Nothobranchius furzeri: one gene and its partner. Each later gene encodes a partner of the first gene's protein in a complex. Links are inferred from orthologs where the notes say so. Each region holds a gene or a part of one and is shown on either strand. Other genes may lie near its edges.

The links. The genes of interacting proteins can lie anywhere in the genome.
Region 2: ubl4a (region 1) and get4 share a complex: the UniProt entries of both Homo sapiens proteins name them as parts of the BAG6/BAT3 complex. The link is inferred for Nothobranchius furzeri from reciprocal best matches to the Homo sapiens genes UBL4A and GET4.

What each region holds. Positions count from the first base shown.
Region 1 is NC_091757.1:40,379,974-40,384,339, reverse strand, and holds the start of ubl4a (ubiquitin-like protein 4A), read left to right. Parts: upstream 1-1,334; 5' UTR 1,335-1,524; coding exon 1,525-1,572; intron 1,573-4,366. UniProt on the Homo sapiens protein: As part of a cytosolic protein quality control complex, the BAG6/BAT3 complex, maintains misfolded and hydrophobic patches-containing proteins in a soluble state and participates in their proper delivery to the endoplasmic reticulum or alternatively can promote their sorting to the proteasome where they undergo degradation.
Region 2 is NC_091756.1:28,102,787-28,106,984, forward strand, and holds the start of get4 (Golgi to ER traffic protein 4 homolog), read left to right. Parts: upstream 1-1,230; 5' UTR 1,231-1,262; coding exon 1,263-1,480; intron 1,481-1,492; exon of another isoform or gene 1,493-1,716; coding exon of another isoform or gene 1,717-1,742; intron 1,743-2,307; coding exon 2,308-2,386; intron 2,387-2,631; coding exon 2,632-2,713; intron 2,714-4,198. UniProt on the Homo sapiens protein: As part of a cytosolic protein quality control complex, the BAG6/BAT3 complex, maintains misfolded and hydrophobic patches-containing proteins in a soluble state and participates in their proper delivery to the endoplasmic reticulum or alternatively can promote their sorting to the proteasome where they undergo degradation.

The DNA.
Region 1 (4,366 bases):
GACAGACAGACAGACAGATAGATAGATGATAGATAGATAGATAGATAGATAGATAGATAGATAGATAGATAGATAGATAGATAGATAGATAGATAGATAGATAGATAGATAGATAGATAGATAGATAGATAGATAGATAGATAGATAGATAGATAGATAGATGATATATAGATAGATAGATAGATAGATAGATAGATAGATAGATAGATAGATAGATAGATAGATGATATATAGATAGATAGATAGATAGATAGATAGATAGATAGATAGATAGATAGATAGATAGATAGATAGATAGATAGATAGATAGATAGATAGATAGATAGATAGATAGATGATAGATAGATAGATAGATAGATAGATAGATAGATAGATAGATAGATAGATAGATAGATAGATAGATAGATAGATAACAAATGAAATGTGTTTTGCATGCTCCAGTAAGACTATAATAGTGTTTCAGACACTCATCACTTACCACGTGCAGTCTGGGTATCGATCAGTACCTCTTCCTCACTCCCGTGAGTGCGTGCTTATTTGACTCCGTCCATCCGACAGGTGTGTACATCTCTCCTGCAAGTGCCCGAGTGAAAGATGCTTCTCCTGCTGGCCGGGACTGAGCAGGCAGCGTAGACAGGCAGTCACGTGACCAACATCTCGGAGACCATCCATACGGGAGGGGAGAGGTAATGACAAATGCGTGGACTGGATCCGAATTGGGTCAGACGGTCCTCGGAGTCCATCGGAACCAATGGGGAGCGTCAAACTGAGAATAGCCTTTCCCCCCAGCTAAAACAAATCAAAGGTTATCTGTGTGCACTCTGATAGCTCCTTCTTCTGTCCAATGAGGCGTTTGTGCTCCATTTCAATAGGTCCGTTTTACGTTAATCTGTGATTTATTTTATATGTTTTATTTGGCAACACATTGCAATTCAATGTAATTGCTACTCAGCGTTGTTTTGTGTCAAATTCATTTTTGCTCGAATATGGAAGTGTGAGTTCGTGAGGAAACATAATAAAAATAAGAACAAAGGCGATATATTTAAAACAAGCAAACTTGAAGCTGTTTCACAAAAGTCTAATCGGGGTATTTGGGGGTATTTCGGCTGTGAAATTAAAAGCCTGTTTTATTTTCTCGGGCGGACAGAATAGGCTTGATGTTAGACGACTACTGCAGGTGAAATATGCTGATTTTCACAAGTGTGTTTGAATCAATTGTGATTTTTTAAACATAATTTTCTACGTTTGAAATGCAGATTTCTGTTGTTTTCCAGTTTTGTTTGAAGGGCTGAGATATTCCTGCCAGACGGTGGCGCTGTTGTCAGTTGAGAGCAAGCAGTAGCTGCAGAAGAAACAGAGGAGAGTCGCAGAAGAAGAAAAAAGAAGAAGACGTTCCACTGAGAAGAGAACAATCTGTTTGCTCGTTACCAACCACTAAAGTAACGTTATTTGGGTACATTTTAAATCATTTAAAGTTTGAACCTCTTCGCGTGTGTTTGGTTTGATATTTTTGCGGCTCTCATAATGATTATCACGGTGAAGCCGCTTTCAGGACTGGAATGTAACATTCAGGTGAGTTAACGCATCATGATGCTAACTGCCGGTGTAGCCAGCACACCGATGGTTATTTATCATATTAGTTTGCAAGTAAAGGGAGAACATATATGCTTCTTTAGTCAGGAAATTAGACAAAACACACCATTCTATGTAGGTTATGTGGGGTTAAACCGGTTAAACATAAACATCTGAGACGAGTTTAAACGTTATCTCTACCGAAGCTGTCCTGCTAGTTAACACTAATGTCACAGGAGGCCTTAAAAATGCACGTTTTTATGCTTTATTGGTTGTATTTATTAAAGTGGAAGGTTGTGCGTGACTGTATGACTTGGACAAATGTTAGCTTGGAGTATGGTTGCTATGGTGATCGTAACAGGGAAATCACCCAGAACTTTAGTTTTTAAACCAAAGCATTCCGTTTTTAATTCGTAAACGTGCAGATTCCATTCAATTTCAACATTTGGAAATTAGATGTGTTTACTCATTTGTAAACACTTCGATCTTTTAAAGCACCGTCGCGTGACAATCAAAAGGTTGTATTTTAATAGCTGAGGTAAACTAAATTCCCAAATCATTGTGGCGTCTACCTTTGTCTTTAAGATGTGAAGAGTCTGATCTTGCGTAACTCAATCCCGTGTTACTACACACAGAAATAATTGATACGCTTTTAATTTCTTGTTTATAATGATTTTACAGATTTAAGTAGGTCTGGGGTTTGAGCCAACAGCGCACCACAGCCGAGACATTTTCTAATTTATGTAAATTAGGACAACGAAATCACGGTGAGCAAATTCAAAAGTTGTCATTTACATTTCTCACAAGCCTGATTTAAACTTTGCCCTTCAGAATAACATATTCATTGAAATTCGTTTCATTTTTGAGTCGGCAGCTTAAAGAATCTCATTATTCTTCCCTCTGGCTGAATCCAGTCTCATTAATGTTTGCTAGCGACTCGAGAAACCTGTCTATAATACCCTTCTCTGTTTCCTAAATAAACAGAAAATGTCATTACCAACAGTGAGTTTATTTAAAAAATGATACATGAAGTTGATGCAAAGTTAATTGCCTAAACTTTGTTACTGCGTCACTTTCGTCTCAGTTGCTTGTGCTTCTTTTACTTCCTCTCAGTGCTTCCTGTCCTTATATCCAAACTCACACAAAGAACCAGTCTTCTGTCTCTGCTTTTAACCATTTTCTGGTGTGAAAATGCAGCAAAAATTATAACAGGCTAGTAATTATTCTACATTATTTAATCCTGTACAAAAAACACAACTGTGGTGCAGTAATGAGTATAAGTTTGTATATTTAGCTGGATTAAAACACCACAAATAAATAATGCTTTTGCTTAAAGAGCAAATTGCAGGTTAGAGACTCAAATAAACCAATGTTTAGAGAAACATAATAGCAACTCGTTTTAAACTTTTTTTTACACATTCATAAATTATTTAGGCTTTTAGAGTCATTTTTGTGAGAGAGTTTTTTTTTTATTTCTTTGCCAAACCAAGTCAGCCGACGGGGTCCTGTTAGCTTAATCTAGAGAAAAATGTAGATCCTAATGTCGGCTCTGACACAGAGGAAACTTTAAATGTTTGTAATTATACTTATGATGGACCAAAAAAAAAAACAGCTGGCCCGCTGAGCCGCCTGTCTCTTCTGGTGGTCGGTTCTGACCTGGTTCTGACGGTGATCTGAGTTCCAGAAATCTGAATGTACTTTTTTAAACCCTGCCACGGGTCTCCAGAGCCCAGCGCAGACCTCCCTGTCTCTGTACCAACCGATTTGGGCTACAGAAGTCCCGTCTTTTCAGCTGCACAAAACGCCCTCAGGCATGTGAGATAGAGGCGTAGTTTCTCTTATCTGGAAACCCGTGGACTCGATGTCCAGAAAGGCTGGAGTTGGTACAGCCTTCACAAACTATAGTTTATCAACATGAACACAATCCAAAACTAGTAAACACACACGCTGACTGGATAACATGACCGCTCTACCCTAAAACTACCCACTCTCCACACAGAGCTGAGGCAGCGCCTAGCTTCTAACTCCCTTTGGTTACATCAGAGGTTCAGATTTAGAAAAAAAGAGCCTTTTTAGAAGCTTTGCTGAGAGAGGCCACTTTTTACTAGAAAACTGCTGTTTTTAAACCAAATATCCACAATAAGCATTTCAAAGAGTATGTTTGGACAGCATTTTATATGAATTAGAAAAAAATATGTTACCTGCAACTTGCTTTTTAAAGAGTTAGTCACCCCCTACAAGAAATTCACGTTACTCCCACTTCATCTTTGAAAAATGCAACAAATGCTGTTGCCTGGCAGACCGAGAGAGCGGAGCCGCTAACAAATAAACACAAACAGGCTCACAAAAGCATTGTGACATCAAAATGTACTAGCTAACGTCATTGCATACCTCTTAGCCAATAGCAGTGGCAGGTTTAAATTTAAATGTAGTGAAGAGGTTTTACCGGACGACGGCACAACACTGACAGTTTTAGTCAGAATATTTAAAGTCCAGGGGCCACGCACAACGGGGTTGGAAAACTGCGCAAGCAATTTTCCACGCAAACTTTGGAATTCATGAAAGAAAACTTTGCGGAAAATTGTGCGCAACTTTAAGTTGACTAAGGACCTGGCTTACGCACATTTTGGACATGGAGAGCACCTGCAGTGCTGCTGCTGAGAAGGATAACATTATGAAATTCTGCAGCATTATCACTTGTACTGCTTCGTTTTCACACAGAACAAGACCCCCCACACACCCGCGCACGCACACACACACACACAAACACACACACGCACACACACACACGCAT
Region 2 (4,198 bases), on another chromosome or scaffold:
CTGTTGCCCCCGCGACCCGACTCCGGATAAGCAGCTGAAAATGGATGGATGGATGCTTCACTTTTAAACCAGTCAAGTGATTTCCCCCTGATGTCATGCTGGTTTAATCATGGTTAATTATGTCAAACCTTCATGATGACAGCTGTTTTTTCTCTGCTGTTTCTTCTGGACAGAGTGTGGCAACTCTCAATATTCCCAAAGTCCAACTCAGTTCCCTTGGTCTGTAAAAAAAATCAGCCATCTGTTGCTTTATGGAGCTGACATCCAGGTCATGGGACTCTTCCCCGTTCACGGCGTATGATCTGAGTTTGATGCTGAATCCGGTGATAATGAGATCATTGACCTTGGTGTCAACCAGGAAAGCAGTCTTCTAATCCTTCTCCTAGTTCTGGATACCTCCTCTACCTACATGCACCAAGATGCCTTTCTGCTGCATTCGGACAAAAGAAACCTCTTCCGAGAGGAAATCAAGCAACGTATCTCGTATCAATCAAACCAAATCCAAGCTTTATTTATAAAGCGCCTTTCGTGACCCTGTCGCGAAGCCCAAGGTGCTGAACACGGTACATGAGAAAAACAGGTAAAAACATTAAAGTAGAAAACAAATGGGTAAAACAAGAGATAAAGAGACCAATGAAAGCAGGGAATTAAAATTAACATAAATGAAGGCCTAACTCAAACATATTCAGGGAACGCGAAGCGGAGGAGGTGGGTTTTTAGGCGACTCTTAAAGGCTGGCAGAGATGGGGATAGCCTGACTGAGGGTGGCAACTGGCTCCAGAGTGACGGGGCTATGACTGAGAAAGCCCGGTCCCCACGAGTACGACACCTAGAACGAGGGACAGCGAGCAGGCCTTGGTCAGAGGAGCGCAGTGTGCGTGATGGGGAATGTCTGTTCAGGAGCGTGGCCAGATAGGGGGGAGCACTACCCTGGAAGAAATTGTAAACAAAGACGAGGAGTTTAAAGTGTGAACGATAACAGACCGGAAGCCAGTGCAGGAAGGGCAAAACCGGATTGATGTGGTCCCGTTTCCTGGTCCCAGTCAGTAACCTGGCTGCGCTGTTCTGCACAACCTGTAGGCGGCGCAGTGATGATTGACCCAGTTCATCCAGGTGTGCTGTTTTGTGAAGAGTCAGTCCAATTTAAAAAAAAAGTAATACGAAGAACAAACATTTTTTTTAATATAGTGCCTCTCAGTTTAGTGCCTCTCTACAAGAACAAGGCTAAGTCGTCAGAGTCATCGATGTTATAGTTGCTCCGTATGCCCCGTCCCCGCCCCTTGCTACGAGCCGCAGCCAGGACCTTCTCGCTAGTCGCTGCTGCTGCTAAAGGCATCGCTATGGCGGAGCCCGAGTCCCTGAGGTGCTCCAGTGCTAGAAACCGAGGAGGCGTTCAGAGGGTCGAAGGGAAGCTTCGAGCAAGCGTAGAAAAGGGAGATTACTATGAAGCCCACCAAATGTATAGAACTTTATTTTTCAGGTGAGACTTCACAATATGTTCGTTCTAATGTGCTTTTGTAGTTACGGTCAGGCCGGCCTGTTCCAGATCATTCCGCTGTCAAACCTTTGACTGGTGCTTGTACGTGATTGGTTGTATTCGCTCTGTGTCCCGCCTTCCCTTGATGGTTCTTGTGTTTGATTGGACAGTGATCCTTTCTATCTTTAGAAGAACAATTGCTATTGGCTTACCGTAATGATACCGCTAGTACCGAGCTGATGATAGCAAATTTTTTGTTAGCAGAGTGAGTAAAATGTGACAACGATAACTTATTTTTGGCTGTATTAATCATGAAATGTATACTGAAAACAAACTGAAAATAGCGACCAACTGTTTTCGTTGGTTTACAATGCAGTTATGTGAACGAGTACATTCATGTTCATTTGCGTTAGCATTTCGCTAGGTGGGAAGCAGCCTTCTGCTATCTCCTCGCAGTAAAATACGAAATAACGACGTGTTTCTAAACAGTTTGTTTTATTTTGAGCTATACCAGACTGATTTGATGCATTTCACTTCTATATCATATTCCATAAACTATGTCATATCCCACCCTACTATGGTAGAATACTAGTTTTGTGGTCTGACTTAACTGCTTACTCCCTCTTGAAAAACGTACTAAGCTGTCGAGAAAGCTCCCAGTTTAAAGCCAATTTCCCTCAAATGTATGTTCTTTCAGTTAATTCCGTCCGTTTCTTGATTGTCACAATCCTATCGTTTACTTTATCAGATGTATATGGTCATTTGGCCTTAGGGAGATTTAGGAGATTGTCTTTAAGTGCACGACTCCGTTCCCCTTTGCCTTCCATCAGGTATATGTCACAAGGAAAACATGCAGAGGCGAGGGAGCTGATGTACAACGGTGCTTTGCTGTTCTTCAGCTACAACCAGGTACAGACCACACCCACGTTTTTGACTAGAACATCCGCAGATTTCATGTTTAAAATTGCATTTCATTAGAAATTAGCATGTACACAACAGCTGTCAGGTTTACAGTTTTGATCTTTGCCTGCTGAATTAACCATAACTTTAACTGTACAGCCTGACTTGTGGCTTGGGTTAAGTTTACCGATTACAGTACGTTCTGTGACAATAATGCTGCCCCAAACATGAGTTCATTGTGGTTTACTTTACAGCAAAACAGCGCAGCAGATCTTTCCATGCTGGTGTTGGAGGTTTTGGAGAAGTCTGATACTAAAGTTGAGGATGAAATGTTAGGTGGGTTTCGAGCTTTCATTGTGTCTAAAAATAACTCTTACTGAGTCTTTTGTGTTGATTTTGATCTGCTTTCTTTTCATTATGTGACAATAGAGCTGTACAATTTATCACATTTTTATTTGAACTTCGATTTAAGAAATCACTAAAATAATGAAACCAACAACAAAAAGGTTAAATTGTTTTGCCAAGACAAGCTTGGTCTTGTATCGTTATGTGATCCAATTAACATACACCTGCCTCCTCTGAAAACTCACCCATACTTCACACTGGAAGCATCAGTGGCACGGACTGTCGCTGCTTCAAATGAGAAGACATTAAAATCTATGGGGGGGTTTCAAACCAGCCACTATGCGGAAATTTTCAAGCGCGTCCCAGAAGCAGCTGGCCATGCCACTAAAGATAGGATGGGTTCTATTTTTGCAGCAAGCCGCATCTGGGACACAACAATTTACACAGTTAGCATAGGGCTAGACAGGAAGTCGCACACGGTTTCAATGTAAAACCCCTGGTAATTCTCAAAATAAGACTACTGCAGCAATGCGATTTCATATCTATGTAGATTACATCAAAAGAAGTTACCTAATGGTTTGTTTACTCCCTGCATTGTTCCAGAAGTGCAATAGTGTGTTTTTTATGGCTTTAATCCTGCAAGTGGAGAGGAACAGCCTCATATGGCAGCAGCAGCTCAGGAGGTAGAGCGACTTGTCTGGTAATCAGACAGTTGCAGGTTCGATCCTGGCTCTGGACAGAGAATTCTGCTGTTGTGTCCTTGGGCTAGACACTTAACTCACCTTGCCTGCTGGTGGGATTCAGAGAGACCGGTGGTACCTGTGCTCATCAGCCTGACGCCTCTGTCAGCAGTGTTTCCATAGTTACCTTGAAATAGTAATCTGATTTCTGACTACTGATTACTCCTTCCAAAAGTAACGTAGTTACTTTACTGATTCATTCATTTAAAAAGTAACTGCCGTATTTTCCGCACCATAAGGCTCACCTGATTATACGGCGCACAGCCAATCAGCGTCCTAGTTAAAGGTTTGGTCCGCACATTAGGCTCACTGGATCAAAACACGCACCCAGCAAAGCAAACAAGCGTCCCGGTCGGCACAATTAAGGCAAATTGGGCAATTAGATCAAAGTCAAACGTTACTCCACTCATTATCTATACTAAAAAATAAATTTCTCATTATTAAAGTAACATAAATGGCCCAGTTTAATGCACGGGTGCTTTTAGCAGCAAGAATGAAGATTTAAACTCTGGTAACGGCATGACTGACTGACTGACTGACCTGCAGCAGCTGGTCTTCCAACTTTCTCCACTTGCAGACCATCGACTCGTTAATCTTGTATTCTCTCGCTGCTGCTCTGTTTCCATGCTCAACGGCGTGAGCGATGGCTTTGAGCTTGAACTCTGCCTCGTAAGTGTGTCTCTTCGCTGGTGCCATGGCTGGTTACCGGTATAGCTGTGTGGAGCAGTGCCACACC